2 linked regions of the Tamandua tetradactyla genome follow. The protein of the gene in region 2 interacts with the protein of the main gene of each other region in a pairwise test. Links are inferred from orthologs where the notes say so. Each region holds a gene or a part of one and is shown on either strand. Other genes may lie near its edges. The genes, in order: RPP14 and RPP30.

Region 1 (13,108 bases), on a different chromosome or scaffold from region 2:
TCCTGGGAAGCATCTGTCCTCGGTCCGCAGCCGCCTCTCCTTGACGTTCCAAGCCGGGGCCCACGTGCACCTCCAGCCAGCCTGCGCCACCCGCCGCCTGCTCCCGCCTTACGCATGCGCACGTGGGACGCGCAGCCGTGGGGGAACAAGCACGGCCGACTGAATCCGCTCCGGTAGAATAGCTGCTCTCACGGCGTTTCCGCCTCTGCCGCTTTCGTCGGCCTGGCCTGATACCTGTCCTCACGCCTGTTCACTGATAGAATTTGCAAAGGCTGGGAGCTCCCACGTAGCAGCAAGGGGCTGGGTACCCCGGACACTCCATGAATGTTTATGTTTGGCTGCTTCTTGTGCCGCCCCCGGAAGCATGGTGTCTCGGAGAGGATGTGAGTCACAGCGCAGCTGCACGCTAAGGACCTAGGCTTACATCCTGTACAGGAGCTGAGCGCTGCCGGGCCCAGCGCCCCCTGCTGCCCACTCCGGGAAAGCTGCGTGTGCGAATGTCTGCATGTAAGAACTGTTTTAATTTGCAGTGATGTTAAGATATACTGTGAAAAGGGAAAAGCCCCATGCCATATCTCCAGGATGTGCTGTTATGTGCTCCGCACTATTATAGGTGTTGGGAACTCAATGAAGAGAAAGAAGACATGGTCCCTATTCCCATGAAACACAGAGTGTGTTCACTTTAACAGCAATCATAGAATAATAGGGGCTAATACTGATCTAGCGGTTACTCCGCGCCAGGATTTTCCATAAAATTTTACATATGTTATCTCATGCACCTTCACACAATCTTATGAGGTAACTATTCTTTCTTTTAATGCCATTTTGCAGAAGAGGAAACTGAGGCACGGAGAGACTAGGTTTCTTGACCTCATAACTGTACGTGATGGAGCAGACCATCTGACTCAGCTGGTGCTCCATACTCTGCACCGTGTTACCTACCACCAGTTGTGTGCATGTGACTCAGGAGTTTATAGGGGGCCAGGGCCTTGTCTCTGTTGCTTCACCACTGTGTTCTGATACCTGGCATAGTGCCTAGCACCCAGCAGACACTCTACATGTATTTACTGAATGCATTTGTTCATAACTGCATGTGCCAGTTCTGCCTGGGTTGGGGGTGAAGGGTGTGGAGATATCCCTGCCTTAAACAGCAGAGTCTGGGTCAGCTCAGACATTCTCCATCTTTTCTTTTCTCAGAATCATTGTCTCCAGTTTCTCAAAGCTCCAGTCCTAGCTTTGGCCACACTCTCCAATCCTGCAAGCCCTGCTTCCCTGCCTTCTCCTCTGACAGGAAACAGGACTTGATGCAAATGAGGGAGGGGTGGAGGGAATCAACACAGACTCCACAAACAGTGGCATTTTCTTTCTCAAAAGAGCTTAGATTTTGACAAATACTGTATGGTCTCACCGATAAGAACTAACATTAATGAATGAACTTGGATATTTCAGTTAAGAACAGAGGTCATCGGGAGAAAGAAATAGGGTAGATATTGGGTAATTGGAACTGAAGGGATACAGATTGTGCAAAGGACTGATTGTAAAAATTCAGACATGGATAGCACAATATTACCTAACTGTAATACAGTAATGTTAGAACACTGAATGGAACTGAATGTGAGAATGATAGAGGGAGGAAGCCTGAGGGCACAAATGAGATCAGAAGGAAAGATAGACGATAAAGACTGAGATGGTATAATCTAGGAATGCCTAGGGTGTATAATGATAGTGACTAAATGTACAAATTTAAAAATGTTTTGCATGAGGAAGAACAAAGGAATGTCAATAATGCAGGGCATTGAAAATAGATGGTAATTAATATTTTAAAACTTTAACTTATGTGTGAGGCTAAAGTAAAAAATGTTTATTTGGTACAAAATTTATATTTTGACTGGTGCATTTCCTAATATAACTTATGTGGACAGCTTAACTGAACACCATAAGTACATGGAACCTTGAGTAGGGCATGAGACTTTGTAGGTTTGTCCAGAGTGATGCCTCGATAAATCCCAGAAGAATTTGAAAAGTGAATAAAATAGTATTTGCAACATCTCCTTGGGGGAATGGTGAGAAAGGGCAAAATTCAACTTCCCTAAGTGGAGAATTCTTGATATTCTCACAAGCAGTAAGGACAACCAAAGCAATAGGCTGAGCCCCCAATCTTGGGGTTTCTTCATATGAAACTTAACCCCACAAAGGATAGACTAAGCCAACTTAAAATTAGACCTAAGAGTCACCCCACAAAGAGAACCTCTTTTGTTGCTCAGATGTGGCCTCTCCCTCTCTCAGCCAACACGACAAGCAAACTCACTGCCTTCCCCCTCTCTACATGGGACATGACTGCCAGGAGTGTGGACCTTCCTGGAACATGGGACAGAAATCCTAGAATGAGCTGAGACTCAGCACCAAGCGATTGAGGAAACCTTCTCAACCAAAAGGGGAAAGAGAGAAATGAGACAAAGTAAAGTGTCAATGGCTGAGAGATTCCAAACAGAGTTGAGAGGTTATCCTGGAGGTTATTCTTACACATTAAATCAATATCACCTTTTTAGTTAAAGGGTAACAGAGAGGCTAGAGAGAAGTGCCTGAAAATGTAGAGCTGTGTTCCAGTAGCCATGTTTCTTGAAGATAATTGTATAATGATATAGCTTTCACAGTGTGACTGTGTGATTGTGACAACCTTGCGTCTGATGCTTCTTTTATCTACCTTATGGACAGACGAGTAAAACATATGGATTAAAAATAAATAAATAATGGGGGAACAAATGTTAAAATAAATTTAGTAGATTGAAATGCTAGTGATCAGTGAAAGGGAGGGGCAAAGAGTATGGTATCTATGAATTTCTTTTCTATTTTCTTTTTATTTCTTTTACTGAATTGATGCAAATGTTCTAAGATACGATCATGATGATGAATATACAGTTATGTGATAAAAAAGAATGTTCATATTGTATGTTGATTGGTTTTATTAATAAAAATTAGACAAAAAAGTTTAGATTTTAGAAGTTGTCAGAAGTTGCTTTGAATCCATCCTTTGCCGCTTATTGTTTTCTCATCCATCAGAGGGAGAGATTATGAGTATCTACCTCACAGAATCACAAGGAAAAAAAAAGCTTTTGAAAAAAATTGTAAAACACCTGGCACCCAGGAAGCACTCAGTAATGAGAGAGGGTACCCTAAACCAGCCATCTGGCAAACCCATCCTGCCAGGCTGCAGCCCAGAGACACAAGAGCAGCTCATGCCTTTTGTGCTTCAAAGAACCTTGGATAATTTTCACTATCCTTCTGCATCCAACCCTGAAAATCAAGTGCCTTCCTAATTGCCTGAATTTTCTCAGTGCTGTCTAGTTAATCCAGAGTTGAGGATAAAAGAGATGCCTTTGAATGATAAAGTTAGAGTTGGTTGATTTTTGTTTTTCAATTAAATTTTATCTTTGAATGGGAATTTAGGCTGAAGGCATCCTTTCAAAAGGAATAAAGGGATAAGCAATGAATGGTAGGTTTCCCTCTCATTCTTCTCCAGACGCAAACTGGTATTAGTTTCTTAAATGTCTTCCCAGAGATATGGTATAAGGGGTTTTCCCTCTTAACAGTTTATCCTAACATGACTCCAAATTAAAACACACAGGGCTGCCTCTGCCTTTATAAAAATTGTCCAGCATTCCATTAGGTGGAGTCATTGGCCCTTGAGGAACCATTCCCACACCCTCTGTCTCTCTCATCTTTCAGAGCAAAGGTGTTGGGGCAAATCTGAGAATATTTATGTTCCTGGAAGGTTTGGCAGTCAAGAAAAAGTTTAATCCACATTTTGTTCTCTTCTATTGTGTTCAGCTCCCCTCCCTGTCTTGTTAACTGGTGCCAAGTGAATTTTGCTAAGGCTAAAAGAGCTTTCTCAACTTTGGGGGGAAAAAAAAGGCTGGGGAGAGGCCTGGGTGGGATTCCAGTCTCTTAACTTCTACAGCCTTAATTCTTCTTTAATCAAATGAAAATAGCACCCACTTATGGCATCAGATTGAAAGATAGGACAAAGGAGGAGAAAATGATCAGAAGTTAAAAGCTATGAAACCACAGTTGTTTTCATCTAGGGAGACCTGTCATGTGCCAGAGTGCTTGCTTACATTATTTTACCAACCCAGCAAATGTCATTATTATTATCATCTTTTGCAGATGAATAAAAATGAAGCTCAGAGAGGTTGTCATTTGTCCAGTGTAGTTAAAGGCTCCAAAGCCAAGGTGCGATACTCCATAGCACCCATATGACGATAAGGCTGGTAGCTGCTTCTTTGAGGCAACCCTGAATATCATATCCAAACTGAAAACTGCAGAGCAGACGGTGCTTTAAGCTGGAGTCCCTGGAAGCAGCACTTGAGACAGGGATCTTTCTGCAAGTGATTTATTGGGGAAGAGCTCTCATCTGAAACCTATAAGGGAGAGAGGCAAGCGGGATGGGGTAGAGAAAGCTAAGTACAGATGTGGATTCAACTCAAGTCTAGCCCAGCCTGATCCCACAGGGGTCCCTGGAGCATAAATGACAGCAGAAAGCTTTCAGTCTTTGAGGCCAGTGGCCAAACTTTTCTACTCTCCCTCAGTCATTGTCTTCCAGCATTAGGATTGCCAGATTTAGCATATAAAAATACAGGATGCACTCTTACATGCGTATTTCAGATAAATGACGAATGGGACATGTTTTAGTTTGCTAATGCTGCTGGAAATGCAATATACCGGAAAGGGATTAGTTATTATAAAGGGAATTTATTAAATTACAAGTTTACAGTTTTAAGTTCATAAAAATATCCAACTAAGGATCCAGAGAAAGATACCTTGATTCAAGAAAGGCCAGTCAGGAAGGCACATGGCTGGTGTTGCTGGTCCTTGGGCTTCTGGCTTGAAACAGCTTCCCAGGGGGCGTTTTCTTATTGCATCTCCGAATGTCTCTGTCTGTGTCAGCTCTGAAACTTTTACCAGAATGTTTTCCTCTTAAAGGACTCCAGTAAGGAACTCACTTTGAGTGGGTGGAGACACACCTCCATGGAGAGCACCTCATCAAGAGGTCCCACCCACAGTTGGGTGAGCTACATTTCCATGGAAACAACAGAATAAAAAAAAAGATCCCAACCAACAACATTAAATTAGAATTAAAGAACATGGCTTTTTTGGGGTACACAACAGTTACAAATAGGCACAGGAAATATGTAAATTATTCTTTGTTTACCTGAAATTCAAATTTAACTGGACATCCTGTATTTCATATGGCAACCTCTTAGGTACCTCTGGTCTTCTGAGGGTGATTCTCTGGGGAAAAGGGGAAGCTGTGAGCCCTCAGCAGCCAACACTCATAGCAACTGGGGTTGGGTGCAGCAGTCAATAGAAGGAACCTCGTAGGGCTCTGGCAGCACCCACTATAGGCAGGGACTCTAGAGGCAGCACACTAGTTAATGTTGCCAAACACCAGAAACTCCAACCCAGATTATCAATTCCAAGCCCCCTGAGGATGGCTCTGGGTTCCTCCCTGCTCCCCTGCTTTGGTCCTCCCCTGGCTTGTGTGGGAACCAGAACTAGGCTATTTAACTTCATCTGATCCAGCATTTCTGGAATTTATTTAAATAGTAGTGGAAGCCTTCCTCAGAAGTGACTCTTGAAACCTCCCTTCCAAAGACTCTGGGATGCCAAGAAGGAAGGGTCCTGAGATCCTCTCTTAAGAGTCAAAGGTCCTCTTCTAGGTGTTCAGAGAAGTCTCTGTAAAGATATTTACACCCTCTCCTGCCCCTCTGCCCCTCACTCTCTCTGGAGGACTCCAGCCCTGTTCCTGGAATTGGTGGGTCTGTGGGTTCTGACCTAGTTGAGCCCCAAGATACAGAGGTAAATGAAAAGCACAAAGGGTGGGACCACAGTAATGTCCAGCGCGCCCCTGGTTCATGTGAGAAACAACTCACACACCAACTGTGCGGTCTCTCTGTTTATATCATGTATGGATGTGTGCAGATGCACAGAAACGTCTAGAAGAATTCCCAGTGGCTTGAGGGGGGTGGGCTGCAGGAGACTGTCACATTTTTTTTGGCATTCTTTTTATTTGGTTTGTTTTAAAGTGAGAGAGCTTCATTTTTATAATAATAATGTTAAATAAAAATCAGGACCTGCCCATTCTCGTCATAAGAGGGAGGTCTGAACCACATGCATCTGCAAAGTCTTCTTTCCCCTGCAAAGACCAGTGAATGCGGGATCCCTTATCTGCAGTTCTAAAGCCAAAAAAAAAAAAAGGAAACCAAATCTTTCCTCATTTGGCGCCAACACTTCATCTGAATTGAGGCGAGGCTTTTTATAGCTTTTGTTCCATTTACATAGATATCCATACCTGACACAGAAATATGAATGCATTTCATCAGGTAGGGGTGCCCCAGCCCCTGCTGGGGGCGCTGCATGACAGATGTTCTACACACCACAATGTAACAGAGAAGTTAGGATTTAACAAATGATTATGATTATTTGAATCATTATATGATATTTCCTTTTACTTTTTAGTATATTAGAATAGCCAGAAGGAAATACCTAAACTAACTGAACTATAATTCAGTTGCCTTGATCTTTTTTTTTAGAATCTTTATTATGAATGGTCAATGTTAAAAATGTGAAATATATGGAAACCATTGCTTGTCATTTACACACTGTAGCGGTAGAGATGCAACATCTACTTTATTGCTATATATGAGTACAGATTTTCTTCCTGGGCTGTATGATTTGGAGTTTGCTCCCTTTACCAGAGTCATAATAGTGAAAACTGTCCTTTTGTGTCTGGCTTATTTTACTCAGCATTATATCCTCCCTATGCTGTCATATGCATCAGGACCTCATTTCTTCTTACTGTTGCATAAAATTCTATCATATGTATATACCACATTTTGTTTGTGCACTAGTTGGTTGATGTTTCCATCTTTTGGCAATTATGAATAGTGCCACTATGAGCATCAGTGTACAAATGTCTGTTTGTGTCACTGTTTTCAGCTCTTCAGGTATATACCTAGTATTGGTATTGTCAGGTCACAGGGCAACTTGATATTTAGTTTTTTATTTGATATTTAGCTTTTTAAGGAGCCAGCAAACTGTCTTCCACAGTGGATATCTGTAGCTATTAGAAGTTTCTTTCTCTTCCAAATAAATTTAATAACTAGTTTTTCCAAGTCTTCAAAGTACGTTCTTGGAATTTCGATTGTTATTGTGCTGAATTTGTAGATCAGTTTGGGTAGAATTGACACCTTAATGACATTCAACCTTCCTATCCATGAGAACGGAATGGCTTTCTATCTGTTAAGATCTTCTTTAATTTCTTTTAGCAATGTTTTGTAATTTTCTGTGTCCTTTATATCCCTAGTTAAATTTTTCCTAAATACTTGATTCTTTTAGTGACTATTTTGAATGGCTTTTTTCGCTTGTCTCCTCAGTGAGGTTATTACTCCTCAGTTGACTCCTTAGTTACATCATTGCTTGTGTATAGAAACATTACTGATATTTGTACATTAATCTTGTATCCTACCACTCTGCTGAATTTGCTTATTAGCTCAAGTAACTTTGTCATAGATTTCTCAGGATTTTCAAAGTATAGGATCATGTCATCTGCAAATAATTAAAGTTTTACTTCTTCCTTTCCTATTTGGATGCTTTTTATTCCTTTCTCCTGCCTTATTGCTCCAGCTAGGACTTCTAATAGAATGTTACTGATTTTCTCAAAGAACCAAATTTTTGTTTTGTTGATTTTTTTCTATTGTTTTTGTTGTTGCTGTTCTCCAGCTCATTTATTTCTGCTTTAATCCTAGTTATTTCTCTTCTTCTGTTTGCTTTGGGGTTAGTTTGCTGTTCTTTCTCTAGTTCCTCCAGGTGAGCAGTTCTTTTTTCATATAGGCATTTAGAGCAATAAATTTCCCTGTCACCACTGCCTTTGCCACATCCCGTGAATTTTGATATGTTGTAATTTCATTTATATTTGTCTCCAGGTATTTGCCAGTCTCTAACAATTTCTTCTTTAACCTACAGATTGTTTTTAAGTGCATTGTTTAATCTCCATATATTTGTGAAAGTCCTGGTTCTTTGGTGATTGTTAATTTCCAGCTTGATTTCATCATGATCAGAGAAAGAGCCTTGAATAATTTGAATCTTGTTAAATTTATAAAGACTTTATTTGTGGCCCAGCATATGATCTATCCTGGAGAATGTTTTGTGAGCACTAGAGAAGAATGTATATCCTGATATTTTGGGGTGTAATGATTTATATATATCACTTAGGTTGAATTCATTTATCACATTATTTAAATTCTCTATATCCTTATTGATCCTCTGTCTAGTTGTTCAATCCATAGAGGAGAGTGGTGTGTATTGAAGTCTTCCACTATTAGTGTTGAAACATCTATTGCTCCCTTCAGGTTTTTTTTCTCTCTCTCTCTTTTTAAAAATTTTCTTTAAAAAAAATTTTTTATTGAGAAATATTCACACACAGTCCATCCATAGTGTACAATCAGTGGCTCACAATATCACCACATAGTTGCATATTCATCACCATGATCATTTTTAGAACATTTGCATCACTCTAGAAAAAGAAATAAGAAAAAAGAAAACCTCAAACATCCCACACCCATTACCCCTCCCTCTCACTGAACACTAGTATTTCAATCTACCCTATTTATTTTACCTCTATTCCCCCCCCCCATTATTTATTTTTCCTTAGTGTTTTACTCATCTGTTCATAACCTGAATAAAGGCTCCCTTCAGTCTTGCCAATGTTGCCTCATGTACTTTGGAGCTCCTTGATTGGGAACATAAACATTTATGAGTGTTATTTCTTCTTGATGAATTGTCCCTTTTATATATAATGTCCTTCCTTGTCTCTTTGATATATATCACTTTTACAGTCAATTTTATTTGATATTAGTATGGCTACTCCTGCTTTCTTTTGGTTATAACTTGCATAGACCATCTTTTTCCACCCTTTCACTTTCAATCTATTTGTATTCTTGGATCTAAGATGAGTCTCTTTTAAGTAGCATATAGATGGATATTTTAAAATCCATTTTACCAATCTGTGTCTTTTAAATGGTGAGTTTAGTCCATTAACATTAAAAGTTATTACTTTAAAGGCAGTTCTTAAATCTACCATCTTATTCTTTAGTTTTTGTTTGTCAAATCTATATTTTCTTTTCCCTCTCTCTCTTTTTACCCTCTAAGTTACCTTTATTGATATCCCCTCCAGACCTTCCTCTCCTGTCTTTTGTTTTTATCAGTTGACAGAACTCTCTTTAATATTTCTTGAAGGGCAAGACTCATGTTGGCAAATTCTCTCTACCTTTGTTTGTCTATAAAGGTTTTAATCTCTTCCTTAACTTTGCAGGACAACTTGGCAGGATAAAGAATTCTTGGCTGGATCAAATTTTCATTCAGAATGGGAATTGCATTGATGATCCCCTTTTAGATTTGGCTTATCGGGCTTTCCCTGTTAAACCACATTCAAGATTTCATGGGGCATTGCAGTTCTACTTGAGGCTCTACTGAAAGCTAGGCAGATAGACAATTTGCCAGACTATACTTTCTGTTTCTTCCCAGCAGATGATGCTCTTGAACCACTTCTTCTCCTCAGGCCCACTTCTCCCCGCCTGTAGGTGCTGGTTGAGCTGGAGACCCAATGTAACTCCAGCCAGGGCCACTGGTCTCATTGCACACTGAAAGCTGCCAACCCCAGGGCCAGGGGATGGGCAGTGTGCATCTCAGTGTAGACCCTAGTTGTGTGCCTGATAGGTCTGGTGGCCCCAAGATAACCTTGGGCTGTGGGACTGGGTATTTCAGCTTCTCGTACCCACAGCCAATCTGTAATTGTCTGGCAGCTGGTTGCAGCATTCAGTTCAGCTGGCTTCCTTGGCCTCTCCTCTCTGTCCATGCATGCCTGAGGTCTCTGGGCATCCATGGGGGAGGGGGAGTGATATTGGGACCCAAATAAGTCTCTTTCACTGCCAGCTGTCGGACTGGCACCACTTTGTGTCTCCCCCTCCTCCCTGGGAGAGGGCCCCCAAGTCTCCACCAAAAAAGACCAGTGCCACAGCAGCATGTTTCAGTGGTAGAGAGCAAGCATTGTACTCTAACAAAATGATTTCTGTGCACAAGGAAAGCAAGTCTGTTAGCTTCTGAGTTCCCCATGAACACTCCTGGCTGTGGAGCTGTGAGGAAAAACCTCCCAAGCCAGCTGTGGGGTAGGCTGGATTCATGACTGAGCACACTTACCCCATCCTCTCTGTCTCAATTTCTCCACTTTTTTATTCAGGGCCTTCTTATACAAGGTAGAAGATCCTCTCTGGTCACTTGCACCCTGGAACCATTGTCCTGGTGATTTTTTCTGTTCCATCTCTCATTTTTACATGGAGCCAGTGTGAACTTAGCCTCTCCTATTCTACCATCTTCCTAGAAGTTCAGTTGCCTTGATCTTTGATAATGACTGTATGACTATAGCCTTTATCTTGTGATTGTAAAAACATTGTGACTGACCCTCACTTGTACCCCTTACCCTGTTTTCAACCTTAGAGTCTTATGATCACTAAAGACAGCCCCTAATGTTTATTAATGAAGGATCTTGAGTCAGCCCAGAACTAACCCACCCCAATTCCATCTTGCTAAATAGAGCTGGATTTAACCAAAATTGGCCCACCTGACAATACAGTGGCTAAATTTTAACCTAGAAATGACCTATACCTCATTCTAAAATCATACCTGTCATCATATTAATGTTGCCATTTTCTTACACACATTCTGTGACTAAGCACGTAATCAATCTGCACATGCTCAATGATTAGATTATCTCTAACGGCATCATCTCAAGCCGTTATACTCATTATCCTACAATCTGCCCATCTTTTGATATTATAAAACTATCAGAGGTACTACAGTTTGGGGAGACAGATTTTTAAGCCAGTAGGTCATCCGATCTCCTGCTTCATGCTTTAGCAATAAACTATTTCTCTCTTGAAACCTGATACCTCAGGAACTGCTCATTTGAGTGCATCGGGCAGAGAAACCACTGCTTTTGATTGGTATCAATGGTACCTTTCTAAGATCAGAAAATTTATGAGTTCTCTACCACATCTAGCCCCATGATTTAGTAGGGGATTTTGGTAAGGGAGTGTAGACCCGTCCTCAAGCTCATGTTTTGGCAGCTGCCTTTCAGGAGTGGTCCTTCAAGGCCAGTCACCCTGTCACCCACCAGCCAGCTTTGACCGGGGGTCATTGGGATTGTCACCTTAGTCCAGTTTCTGCCTTGAAGAATCCTTCTTCCCTCCCTCCCTCCCTATGTGGGACATGACTCCCAGGGATGAGCCTGGACCTGGCATCGTGGAAGTGAGAAAGCCCTCTTGACCAAAAGGGGAAGAGAAATGAAACAAAATGAAGTTTCAATGGCTGAGAGATTTCAAACAGAGTTGAGAGGGCATGTGGAACATTATTCTTATGCATGATATCATTATATAGATATCCCTTTTCAGTTTATGGTATATTGGAGTGGCTAGAGGGAAGTCCTGAAACTGTTAAACTATAATCCTGTAGCCTTGATTCTTGAACATGACTGTATAATTATATAGCTTTTATGGTGTGTCCGTGTGATTGTGAGAACCTTGTGACTGACACTCTCTTTACTCAGTATATGGACAGATGAAAATAAAGACAAATAAATAATAGGGGGGAGATAAGGGGTATAGGATGTTCTTGGTGTTCTTATTTATTTATTTTGGAGTAATAAAAGTGTTCAAAAATTGTTTGTGGTGATGAATGTGTAACTATATGATGACACCGTGAACCACTGATTGTACACTTTGGATGATTATATAGTATGTGAACAGATCTCAATATAATTGTATTTAAAAAAAGGAATCCTTCTTCTCCTCCCTTCCCCTGCTGAAGCTCAGCTGGTCTCCAGCCTCTGTGTGGCCTAAGGTTCCTATTCATTGTCATTAGTGTTTGGAGACCACAGATTCAGGAACCAATCAAGGAAAGGTTCTTCTAGGAGCCAAGACAGAGGGATTCTCCTGTTGCTAAGTGTCTTGACTCTCCTTGAGTACAGGCATCCCCAGCCCCCACACTGGTTATTTCCAGCCTAAAGAGCAGCAGCCCTGGGCCCTAATTTCCCAGGGACAGCTGGGGACACCAGACGGCAGCGCAGGGCTTTCTCCCTCAGGTAATTTGCAGACATCTCCACTGCCCTATCTGTGGCCACACTCACAACCCCCGCATAAAAATGATCCTCCACTTCTTGCCTCCTTCTAGGGAATGGAGAAGTTAAGAGAACAGCATCCAATTCCCTGTGGGGCGGGTTGAGGGACAAGTGACTTATAAGGGAACCAAGCCCACAGGGTTAAAGGAATGGCACTGGAAGAGATAAAACCTGATGGATCAGAAGAGCCAGGCCTCCAGCTGTTAGGGGAGAAGGGGAGAATGTGTCTGCATGTGCCCATGCATGGGGGTGACAAAGAGAGAGACAGAGATGAAACACAGAGATGAAACAGAGGAATACCAAGAATTAAAAACAAAAGAAAATCACCACCCTCCCCCTGTCTACATGGGACATGACTCCCAGGGATGTGGACTTTCCTGGCAACATGGGACAGAAATCCTGGAATGAGCTGAGACTCAGCATCAGGGGATTGAGAAAACCTTCCCAAACAAAAGGGGGAAGAGTGAAAAGAGACAAAATAAAATGTCAATGGCTGAGAGATTCCAAACAGAGTCGAGAAGTTATCCTGGAGGGTATTCTTACACACTAAATAGATATCACCTTGTTAGTCAAGATGTAATGGAGAGGCTGGAGGGAACTGCCTGAAAATGTGGAGCTGTGTTCCAGTAGCCATGTTTCTTGAAGATAATTGTATAATGATATAGCTTTCACAGTGTGACTGTGTGATTGTGAAAACCTTGTGTCTGATGCTCCTTTTATCTACCTTATCAACAGACAAGTAAAACATATGGAATAAAGATGAATAATAGGGGGAACAAATGTTAAAATAAATTTAGACTGAAATGCTGGTGATCGGTGGTGGTGGGGGATATGGTATGCATGAATTTTTTTCTGTTTTCTTTTTATTTCTTTTTCTGA
Region 2 (12,784 bases):
AAATGTCTAGCAAAATGAATAAAAAAGAACATGCCACCTAAATATATCCCTGTGAAACTCCAAGTGTAAATGAAAATCCTAAAAGTTTGCAAAGGGGGCAGAAAAGGCCATCTAAAAAGAAATAACAGACTTCTTGCATAAAATAATAAACACAATTCTCTTTTACTTCACTGTTACTTACATGAAAAAGTTTTTCTGTCTTTGGAAAAACTGCAACAATATCATACAGCCGGACCCTTGAAGAAGTTGCTCTCTAGTAATATAAAAATAAGGATGCTATTACACAATAACAGAAAATATATAAAATATAAAAATATAAAATGCAATTCAGCCTGTTAATCTAGCTACATTTATATTCATATTTATATTTCAATCATGTAACTCTTCCAATCCACCACTGATATTTTTACTTTGCTCTGTATGTTGGCAGAAGAGATCTTAGAAGCACATGAGAATTTAGATACCAACACTCACCCCACCAACCATCCTCCTCCCCTCCTACATTTGTTAAGTTTTAACTGTGTAACAAACACTGTGTTTGACATACAAAAATCAAATTATATAGTCCTTGCTCTTACAATCCAGTGGAGGAGCCTGACGGACATTTACTGAGTACCAACTACATGCATATAGATGACTTCAACGAAATATACCATTTTATTGCAAGAAAAAAATAGACAAAATTAGATGTGGTATGTTCTATGAAATATACACATAATTGAGTGTGATGCAATTAGGTTCACAATGAGAATATTGCTTAATGCAAATTAAAACACTAGATGTGCAAGAAGTAACCGAGATACGAAGGACGGAAAAGAATGCATGTAAAGGTAAATACTGAATTATTGGTTTTTTTTTAAAAGATAACCTCAAACTTATGTTGTAGGTATATGCATGTGAAAAGACTAGAAAATATGTAAAATCTCTGAACAATGGGGTGATGTGGGACATTTTTTTACATCTGATTGGCATCTTCTAAATTTTTACGATAAACCTCTTAGATCGAGAAAAGAAAAAGTGGTATAAAAGTTAGAGGAGGAAAATGGAGGGGTTAAGTTAAGTAGCAGGTGCTGTACTTAGAGGGAAGCAGGCTTGCTAGGCAGACTTGTGCTGAGGCAGAGCAGGCCCTAGATCTTACAAAAAGTCAAGACTAAGGATTCTTTGCCCTCCTCCTGCACACCCCCACTTGGGAAGGGGACAAAAAGGGGCCTCCAGGATGCTCATAACAAGAGAAATGAAAATCTTTATGATCTACAAAATAAGCTTCATTTATATCTATCTGGGCCTAGAGAACCATAACACTGTCTTGCAGCTGTAGAAAAAATCACCTCTTTCTCTAGCAGCCTCTGGGGGGGCACCATTAGCTCATAGCTGAGTCTTTCCAAGATTTCTTTAATTACTCCTGTTCTATGATAAAGGTATCCATTCTAGCTAAAGATAAAATAGCCACCTATACTCTGAAAAGTGTATCTGCTCACTTTCTCTCTACCCCATTGGGTCCTTACCATAAGCAGGCATACATATTCAAGTCTTGCCCACCTAAATTACTATACAGCAGGTTCTCCACCAACCACCCTACTCTCTCATCTGTGGAATCAAATTTCTCAGCAAGGTCAGAAGCATACACTAGCTGCATTTTTTAATTTTTGCTAAGGCCACTGATGACTTCCCTGTCCAAGAGACATTTTTTTAGCCCTTCTCAATCACTCAAGCACATTTGAGGCTGTTCACCTCTCTCCTCTTCCCTTCTCACCTTCGTGTTTTCACTCCTACTTCTCAGCAGTCCCTGCTCATCTCCAGTCCTACCTCATCCTTCTCTACTCCACCAATAAGTGCTAACATTCCTTGAGACTCTTTCCCTTACTCTTCTCATGTCATACCTTGACCAGTCTTTTCTACTTCCAAGATTTCAATTACTCTCTACAGAATGACCACTTATAAATCAGTAGCTGTAATTGGGATCACGCTTCTAAGGGCCCCACCTTCATTTCCAACGGCCTATTTGAAGGCTCCACTGGAATTCACAATAATTCATCACATCCCAAATACAATGCCCCCAAAACTGCTGCTCTGTGTGCCCTTTCTCTGGATAAGGTACCATTATTTACCTACCTGGTGGTTCAGTCAACACCTCCATCCAATCAATCACCAAATCCCGACAATCCTCCCTACTGGATGACTCTCAAAATTCCTCCTTAAATCTCTGATCCTTTTTTCTATAGTGCAAATCTCATCATTTTACTCTCTTGGTTAAAACCATCAGGGGCTTCCCACTGAACCTGGAATCCTCACCCATACTTCTCTAACCTCACTTCAGGCTAGCCAGCTCACTAGGCTCAGCCCAATTGGCCCTGTTTTACATCCCAGAACATACCACGATCCTTTCGACTTCAGGACCCTTGCACAATCCATCCTCTGTGTGAGAACACTACCTCTCCAACTTGTCACCCATGTAACAATGGTTCTTCAGGCCTCAGCTTGAATATCAACTTCCTCAAGAAGAATATCAAGATGGCCACCTTGTTACACACTCCCACAGCATCTTTTATTTACCAACCCCCCTTCTAAACCTTACTTACATTTGTCATTATTATTTGCTCAGTGCTTTTCTTGCCAATTAAGTTGTGAGCTTCATAAGTTCAAAGGTCATATATACTATTCATAGTATCATGCTCAGCATTCAGCCTTATGCCTGGTACATGTGAACTGAATGAACAGGATTTGCCAAAGGATTCTTTGATCATGGTATCACTATACAGGTACGATGAGTAGAACTAAGAGAAATCTGAGGATGGGGGAGGAGTCAGTATTATGGGAAGGGGTGGGGAAGATGTCAGTATGGTGTGAGATGAAAAGCTACACTGTTCAACATTAATCAATAAAACTTGCAGGACCAAAAAGAGAGAAGGAAAAAAATGAACTTACCAAAACCTTGCAGTGAGATGGATCCGAAACAATAATTGTCAGTCTAGTTAAAATTTTAATTGGTCTTGATTTTCCCTATAAGTAAAAGTGGACCATCAAAAGCAGCTCAAAATACCACTGGTTGGCTTTCCTCTTTATCATCACAAAGTATTCATTACAAAGTATCAGCTATAAGGGACACTGAAGATCAAAAAAACAAATAAACCCAACCCCCAAAACAGAAAACAAAAGCAAAACTAACTAGTCATTGTCATCAAGGAATTTATATATAACTACAGAAGCAGAGATGCACATACATTAAACCATAACAGAGATAACCTGAAAGTTGTTTAATTTCAAGGGATAAGATCCCAAAGAAGTACCAGGGATGATAAGAGAATACTTCACAGAAGAGCTGAGATTTGATGGAAAAGTAAGGTAGCTAGGCAAAGGAAGGTACAATCCAGATTACAGAAAGCACACATAATTGGGTATGTCTAAATTAAATGAACAGGAATTATGCTTTGTTCACACTAAAACACTTACCTGTACAATTGGCAAAGTTGTGAAGAGTTCAGAAACAGCTACTGGTTTTTCAATTTCCTACAAAAAAATAGAAAGGACTAAATATCGTGATTACAAATTCAGTCAATAGGCACCTTTAAAATGGTAATCAAAGTGACTTATTTAATGTTGAATCAACTTTAAGAATCCTTACAGCACGCAGTTCTTCACAAAAATATTTATCATTTGCACAGTAAGCATCAATTCACAACTGTTAACATACAAGAGAATACTGCACACAGAGAGTGCATTTAAGAAGTATGTTCATTTGTAGCATCCATATTACCAATATAAACACAAGTAACTATAAACATTGGTTTATTAAGCTCAGAAATTGTATTTTACCTGTTTCTTTTCCTTAAAGTCAACAACATGATTGATGGCAACAACTGAATAGCCAACTGAAAAAAAAAAATTAAAGATTCTTGTTAAACATAACTCCTTTCTGTACATACAGGCCCATCCTGTTTTAGCAGAGTGATGTGCAGACTCTGGTCTCAGATTGTCTAGTTTCAAATCCAAGTGCTACCACTTAGAATTATTTAACTGTAAGTTTCAATTCTTCATCTGTCAAATGGAGATGGCAGGACTTAGGTCATACAACTTTCATGAGAATTAAATGAGCTAACACATTTGAGGTACTTTAGAAGAGGTCTAGCTTTATATGATTAGCAAGATACTAAAGACTCTCTATTTTGTGCTTCTCCTTTCCAACCATCATTCTCTTTCATTCCCCTTTGTTCATTTTCATTCTATTAATACTTTTTCTCTCTCACCTATCTTTTCACTCATTTCTTTTGCTTCTGATCCTATATCCTTCAAAAGCCTCTCTCCTAAAGAGAAATGAAGTACTAACTTCCTCACACCACCATCTACTTCCCATTTGAGCTGCCCACCATCAAAAGATTTTCTTGAGGCCAGGCGCTTACTTTATCATTCTCATCCAATTGACACCGTTCTGAACATCCGGCTACCAAACATATGTCTAAATTATGACTTCTATTTTTAAGGCACTTAAACCTTAATGGGGATGATGGCACAAATATTAAAAGATAATGCCTATTAATGAAAAATAGGGGTCTTCTCTCTCACCAGTCTGTCTACACTCCTGCCTTCTTTCCTTCCTCCCTCCCTCCACTTCTTCCCTTCCTTCTTCCTTCTCTTCCTCCTTCAGATGTTTACTGAGCATCCACCACCTGCCAGGCCCCCTGCTAGGTGCTGAGCGCACAGGGTAAATAAAACAATACAATCCTCACCCTCAAGAAGCTTACACTCTATTGGGGGAAATAAGGCAATTAAACAAGGAGCTGCAAAAAAAAAAAAAAAAAAAAAGCATTTTGTTAATGAAAGTAAAGATTCTATAGGAATCCAGCATACAGCAAAATGAAGCCAGGTGTAGGGGGTCAGAAAAAGGCCCAGGAAGAAAATGATCTTTAAAAGTAAACACCTGAGGGGAAGAGAAATTTGTCATACTTTGGCCTCTACTTTCTCCCAGTTAGTCAAATCAACCTGCTCCACTTCTTAACTATTCTTCTCTACTCACTCCAAAGTCTACTCTAACCTCTTGTACCCCACTTGGATATCCTTTATATTGTTGGCCACCAAATAATATCCCTACTGCCCTTCAGAAATCTCAACTAGATTCTGTTTCTTCAGAAAACTTTTTCTACTTATCTGGTAACTTAGGAATACTTCCCTAAGTAGTCTTTAGCATAATTATTATTTAGATAGCATATCTCTGAAGTTAATCACTAGTTTCTTATCACATCGCAAACTAAAAACAGGGACTCTGTTTTCTACATTCTTTGAAAATTTTCCACCCATCAAATAACAGTGCTTTGCCTTCTGACTTATATAAGGTGTGGTAACTTTCTGTTTTATGTCATGAATTCTGCTTAATTTTAAAGAAACAGATTGACTAACAATGTCAATACTTTACCATATATCCTTCAAACATATTTTTAATTCAAGTAACTTGTTAAACAAACCATTTTAATTTTTCTTTTCTGTATTTATCTCTAAAAAATGTTCAGTCTTTTATTCCATAAGCATTAACTGAGAACCTGCCATGAGCCAGTGCTGCTGAGTAACTGTTGTGCCCAGGAAATATATTGAAGAATAAGACTATGGCCCCTCTCTGAAGAAGCTCATGGTGTAGTCAGTAAGAGGCTGCATCAGGAAAGAAAGACTTGAGTTGAGCTACATTCAAGTAAAGAATCATCAAAGAATATAAGTGTTAAAAGACCCATATCATCATGCACAATCCCTTTTTCTACTGATGAGGAAAGCAGACCCCAGGCCGACATTACTAGACTGTGTTGCAAAGGAAAGAAAAATGATTTAAGGATGCCTCATGGGGGTGTGGGGGGTGACGGGGAAGGCAAGAAGAAACGCGGTGATTCTTTTTGCCAGGGAGTGAATTTATCCAGCACCATTTCTGAGAAGTATCAGTTATCAATTCTCACAACAAGCTGAGAACTTTCTCTGAGGGAAAGGTCTTAATGAAGGAATCTCTATCTTCTAAGTTCTCTATCCCCTCACTTTACAGTCTAAGAAGTTAGAAGCCATGCTTAGCCCCAATAATTAGTCCTCATCACTCAGGACCTTCGCTTCTCTTCAATTCAAATATTTGCAACACTTCCACCTTTTGGTTGTGCTGCCTAGTGTGTCCCCCTCCTCTACCTAACCCCCCTTCTAAATAAATAACATTATTCAAACACACGCACCTCTATATTCTCCCCCTTCTCTGAGCCCCCAAGCACTCTACGTACTCGATTCCCGCATTTGCTCAGACATTGTCGTGAGAGGCAGGGAGGAGTGATGTTCAAAGCACTAGCTTGGGAAACTGAACATTTGGAGTCTAGCCCTAACTTCGGCCATCCCTTTCAGCCGTGAGGACCTAAACAAATCTCTAGTCCCCTCTAGGCCAAGGGTTCCCCAACCTGCAGAATAAAAGGAGCTGAACTAGTGACATTCTTCCCTAGTTCCTTAGTGTTCCACGGGTCTGGGATCAGAATAAGACCGCGGCGGGCATCAACTTCTTGGGACCTTCCAGAAACCCTGGAAGACCTGAAGGAGGCCTGGGAAACTCGGGAGACTCACGGTGAGCGGCGTTCTCTATCACCCCCCGCAGAGCCTTCAAGTCGGAACCCGCTCGAACATCCAAATCTGCAAACACCGCCATGCTGCAGTCACATGACAGCGCGCGTGCGCCCATCTGCGCAGTCGCCGGACCGCCCCTGAGCATGCTGGGAATTGTAGTTTGCCTGCGGCATCCGTCCGTCCCTCCCTCCAGTGGAATATTTGCTGGAGTTGGATATTTGAATATAGGGAGTCCCGGAGACTTTCGTCCGCCTGTAAATACGAGGAAAACTTAGGATATCAAAATCAACAGCCCCACTTAATCCTTTTGTCTTTCGAATGAAAATGTGTGATTTCCCCATAGAGAGGTTCGAATCCCCCATGATTCTCCCTTTAAAATAATGTAGAAAATGATTCATTCGAAATGCATTTACTGAGCGTCTTCCGTGACTTTTTTTTTTTTTTTTTTTTTTTGCTATCCTTTTTGCTAAGGGCTGGAAGCGCTATTTAAAGAGTCAGAAAGAACTTGTTTTTCTTACAATTCCCCCTACCAATCCAATCGTTCAAAACGTGCTTAACGTGATGGGGTGGAGGACGAGGGTACGGAGCTGGATCCTAACGCATCTGAAAAGGGTTGCCCGAGCAAAGGGCAATTTATTGTCCGATCTGAAAGGATCGCGTTGATGCTCTTTGCTCGTTGTTGCAGTAGTCAACATCTTCAACCAAGAGGTGGCAGGGCTCCCTTGGTTGAGCGCTGAGCGACACAGGGTTGATAAGGAAGGTGCAAAATTGAAGTGTTTCACAATTCTCCATCTGAGAAATGTACAAAGTGCTGTATGTCCACACATTTGATGTTTCCATATTTTGGACTTTACAATTCTCCATCTGAGAAATGTACAAAGGGCTGTATGTTCACACATTTGATGTTTCCATATTTTGGACTTCGTATAGATAAGCTTTTGACCACATCTCAATTGCTCTATGCTCTGTTGAATGAGTCCACTGATCAGGCGTATGGATGTTTGGATAATACCAGAGTGCTGGTAAAGTTTTCTAAACATTTTTGATTTCTGTACTTACCGTCAAAATTAGTGGTCCATAGCCATATTTTATGTAGTACTTCTTTATGTGACTTCCTTGTTGGACTCAGAGTTTTATGAAGAATCTGTTCCCTGTAGTAGAATGCAATTCTTCTCTTAGTTAAATTTTGTAAAGAAGGAATATTTCGTCTTTTGCAATACTTGATATTTTCCTACGTGAGAACTGAAGGAAATACTACGTTTGCAAATAGAACAAAGTCATGAGAAGCAAACCGTTTGTTTTGCGTCAGAAAATAGTGTTGATTTTGCGGGATCCTACAGACAGTTTCGCCTATGACCACAAACTCTAGATTGGTCAGAAACATGAATGTGTGGTGAAGGTAAATAACATAATTTAATTGTCATCTAAATGGCAGCATTGGGACTAAAGAGGGCCTTTTCCTTTGAAAGTCACCATGCTGCTGCTGTAGACTGTACCCCTGGAATTTTTTTTCTCCTCTGCACCCTAAGCCTAGGTAAAAAGGGAGAGAAAGTGTGAGAAAGAAAAAGAATAAATAACAAGTCACTGAGCCCTTTACTGAGGATTAGGTGATTAAATAGATAGCCACATATGAATATCTTATTTAATTCTCAAAGCAACTGTGTGAGTTAAGTACTATTTTTGTCAACACCAGTGTTTCACATCTGAGGAATCAAAGCTTAGGGAAACTGGTAGAAACAGATGTGGATGTAGATTTAGATGGGATTTGCTCAATTCTCAGTGGAATGGGGAGAGTGGAGAAGAGAAGGGAATGAAGAGGACAAGGAAAGGCTGGAGGGGAGAAGTGAGAGAGGAAAGGGAAAGCAAGGCAGGAGAGAGAAGGAAAGGAAAGAGGTAGAATAGGGGAGGGAAGAGTGGGAAAAAGGAAATGATGGGATGGGATAGGAGAGGAGCAGTGAAGGAGGCTGGTGAAAAGTTGGCCTAGAAGGGTGGCTGAAGCAGCAAGGATCTGGAGCTTAAAGAAGACTCTGGAAATTTCTGGTCAGAAAATAATATTGAAAGTGGGAAAATGAAAGACAGGGAGAAGGTTTGTATGTTTCCAAAAATTAACATTAAAGCATGTTTGATTGAGAAGATAAAGAGTAGCCCTACCTCTTTAACATGAAAAGTGTACTGGAACAAAATAGGCAACTTTAGAAGCCATTTTGAAAGAAATTAAGGAAGGATTATAACTGATATATGGAAAAGATGCATTATGATAAACTTAATGAATGGAAATAAAGAGAACCAAAATGTCAATAGGATTTGTTTTTAAATAAAGATTGCTGTCTTGAAATTGTTGCATATTAAGTGAAAAATAACTGCCCAGGCAACTGAAACTTTTTACAGAAGGCATGCTTACAAGTAATATTTATTGAAAGCAACAGGAAGATCAGGCCCTAAATAGAAACTAGCATTTTCAAATGCAATAACGAAAAATCCTATTGCTCAGAATGTTGGATAAATGGCTTACAACTTGCAGGATAATTTCATGAAAAACTGAATTATTTTTGGTATTTTCCATTGCAGCTGATAAGAGAATAAATATATAAAAGCTATCTGTGTTAAGAATTTTGACGTGACTAAAAATCTTTAGAGATGGTGGCCAAGAAAGGCACAACATTAGGAGACAGTGTGTTTTCGTGGACGGTTAAAAGTCTTGAGGATTTTAGAGTAGACTGGTCAGAATTGATAAGTATGACTATAGATGGGACTCCTGCAGGTGTCAATCAGTGTTAACATAACTTATGAAACATAAGCTTAATGTGGCAATATTTCATCAGGGCACAGAACTTAATCCAATCTAGTATAAATTGTCCAGAAAATTCCTAGAGCTGTTGTAGCAAAGTTCCACAGATTGGTGGCTTAAAACAACAGAAATTTAGTCTCAGTTCTGATGGCTGGTAGTCCAAAGTCAAGATGACCTCAGGGCTATGGTCCCTTTGAAACTTGTAGGGAAGAATTCTTCCTTAGCTCTTCCTACTCTGATGTTTGGTAGCAATCCTTGGAATTTCTTGCTTGCAGCTGTGGCATTTCAATTTCTGCTTCCATTCTTTATCTGTGTGTCTGTGTCTACATTTCCCTGTTCTCATGAGCACACCAGTTATTTTGAATTTAGGGTCCATCCTAATCCAGTGCGACCTCCTTTTAGCTAATTATATCTGCAAGACCCTATTTCTAAATAAGGTCACAATCTGAAGTTTCGGATGGACATAATTCCTTTTTTGGGGGGAACATTATTCAATCCAGCACATCTCCCAAATGGATCCCACTGTTCTCATTAGTAGACCTATATTACAAAAAAATTGTAATGAGATGCCACTGCTGTATTTTGAATTTTCTAAAAAAACCTTGTAGAAATTTGTTTTCTTTCTTGACATTTATATGGCTACACAATAGCCTTTGTTTTGCATCTTGGCCGACAATACCTAACATACTTACTGTCTGGCCCTTTACAGAAAGAGTTTGCTGATCCCTGCCCTAAGTCACTGCTTAACAACAGTGTTCTAACAACACTCTGTCTCAGTTTGCCAGAGCTGCTGTCACAAATACCATGAAGCGGTTTTGGCTTAACAACAGGAATTTATTGGCTTATGGTTTTGAGGCTAGAAGAAGTTCCAAATCAAGATGTTGGCAAGACTTGCTTTTTTGCTGAACCCTATACATTCTGGTTCTGACTTCTGGCAGTCCTTGGGGTTCCTTGGCGTGTATCCCTGCCTCCCATCAAATGGAGATGTGCTTTTTTCTGTTGGCACTTCCTGTTTCTGCTGACTTCTGGCTTCTCCCTGTGGCGCTCTCTAATCCTGCATCTGATTTCTTCTCTTTATAAGGCCTCCTATGTGGATTGAGATCAACCCCGATTCAGTTGGGCCACACCTTAACTAAAAATATTTCTTAAGGGTCCTATTTGCAATAGTTTCATACTCACAGGAATGCAGATTAAGCACATGTCTGAATTGGGGTACCTAATTCAATCCACTAAGCCCTCTATTCCACCTCCCATTTTACCCCTGGGGAGCATTTGGAAATTTGTGTGGGTATTTTTTTGCCTGTCACACTAATTGGGAGGTGGACTGGGTGATATAAGGTGGGAAAGTCTTGTGCAATGAACATATATCCCTTGTTCTACACGAATTTTGAATGTCTTAACAGACATTCATATGGAGGGAAACCTGTTTATGATTATGTGAATATGGAAACTAACTTGGTTTTACATATAAACACAATTTTTTCCCACAATTTTAATAAGCACAGAATTTTCCAGGAATGCAACTAATGGGTAAATAGAGGGAAGACTGTGCTTTATTTGGAATTTTTTATAAGGGTTGTTCCCTATTTCAGAATATCATGTCATCATAGCAACAGTATGCACACTGTTTAGGTTAACAATGCAGCATACTTATATGGTGTGTGTGTATATATATATATATATATATATATACATATATACACACATATATATATATACACCCACACACAGACACGTTCCCATACACATAAACACACACATATATAATCATCTAATATATCTTACCTAATATATGCTATGTAAGTAAATATATAAATAATAATAAGTATATATATACATACTTAACTCTTATTCAAAATACTGCATATAAATTAGAGGTGCTGACAACATTCAATTAGTTATCTTGTCTTACATCTGAACACCTTTATTAGGAGTAGATACAAGTATCTATTTTATTATATTTTTGATCCAGTGGTGCCCAAACATTCACATACTTAAATGTATATTTATTTATTCTTTCCTTTTTTTTCTGAACTATATTACAACTTGGGAATTAAGTATATTTAAAATTATGTTTATAAACTAGGAAAGGAGCATTACAAAATATTTTATTTAAAAAGCCGATTTTGGATCTAATAAGTTGAGAATCATTGCCCTGAATAAAAATCCACTGTGCTTAGAATCTATCCCTTTTAAGAAATATTTCTATTTCTGCAAAATGATTTTTGGTTATGAAAATCAATAAAACTGAATATTGTTTCTATTTGGCACAATCAAGCCTGATTTCTTGGATTGCACACAGCAATACAGTAATAATAATACTGCGTTTGTCATTTTAGTTTAGAAAAATGCATCAAGTTTCCAGTTTCAATCAAGGAATACTGAATTATTTTTTAAAAATCAGCTAAATATTTCTACTTCTCAAGTTGTATATTTTCAATTTAATATATAGTTTACAGCATGGTTTTGCAGTCTCAGCACTATTAACGTTTTGGGCTAGATAATTATTTCTTTCTTGTAGGGGCTGCCTTGAGCACATGGGATGCTTTGCAGCACTCCAGGCTTCTACCCACCAAATTTCTACAACTGTGCAATGGAAAAAGTCTCCAGACCTTGCCAAATGTTTCCTAGGGCACAAAATCCCAGGCCAATAACATTTTAGTGCTCATGGTAGGTAATTGCAGAGGATAGGGATTGGTGAATGTTTTTTTGTTTGTTTGTCTTGGAAGAGAGGTTCAGAAAGCCCGTAGGATGGGGAAAATATCTTAAGATCATAGAAGAGATGTGAATTGGTTTTCCTTAGGTAATAGGCACTTTCAGGGAAGTGGGCAAACTTCTTTTGGGAAGGGATGATCGATGTACCTTTTGAGGCTAGGCCTTAGATCCTAGGTGTCCAGCAAAGTCAAGGTCTCCACACTACAGAAGGGCAGAGGAGACATAGCACTGCTTGGTGGGACCAAGATTCCAGGACTATTCTGTAGTCTGGGGGTGAGGGACAGGGCAGGGGAACCCATAATAATGACTGTAGTTGAGTTTCCCATCAGATAGATAGGTTGGGGGGTGGTCAGAGGTCATATTTAATTTGACTTTAGAAAAATTATGTGACACTTCTTGCACAGAGTAAAATTTATACCCACCTCACATAGCATACGTTTCTCTATGATCTGCCCCTACCCCTCCCTAAAGTCTACCCTTACCATCTTCCAGTGCATTCTAAAATACACAGCTCTGGCAAGTGTACCATGTGTTGGCTTTGCACCTTCCTTTCTTGCAGTCTTCTGATGAATTTTCTCAAATGTTAGCTCTGTGAATTCTTTGGTATCTAAAAAGAAGCATCTCTTTGCTCTAGGCTCCCATATCTTTGATTCATACCTATTTTATGAGGTATTTCACATTACGCTATAGTGATTTACTTATCTGTCTTGT

What was found.
Region 1: the proteins of RPP30 (region 2) and RPP14 interact in binary tests that used the Homo sapiens proteins (3 or more experiments, as listed by UniProt). The link is inferred for Tamandua tetradactyla from reciprocal best matches to the Homo sapiens genes RPP30 and RPP14.

The regions. Positions count from the first base shown.
Region 1 is NC_135341.1:26,595,699-26,608,806, forward strand, and holds the start of RPP14 (ribonuclease P protein subunit p14), read right to left. Parts: upstream 4,925-13,108; 5' UTR 4,818-4,924; intron 394-4,817; exon of another isoform or gene 1-393. UniProt on the Homo sapiens protein: Component of ribonuclease P, a ribonucleoprotein complex that generates mature tRNA molecules by cleaving their 5'-ends.
Region 2 is NC_135339.1:54,517,458-54,530,241, forward strand, and holds the start of RPP30 (ribonuclease P protein subunit p30), read right to left. Parts: upstream 6,678-12,784; 5' UTR 6,653-6,677; coding exon 6,571-6,652; intron 3,870-6,570; coding exon 3,814-3,869; intron 3,508-3,813; coding exon 3,451-3,507; intron 3,001-3,450; coding exon 2,926-3,000; intron 254-2,925; coding exon 182-253; intron 1-181. UniProt on the Homo sapiens protein: Component of ribonuclease P, a ribonucleoprotein complex that generates mature tRNA molecules by cleaving their 5'-ends. Also a component of the MRP ribonuclease complex, which cleaves pre-rRNA sequences.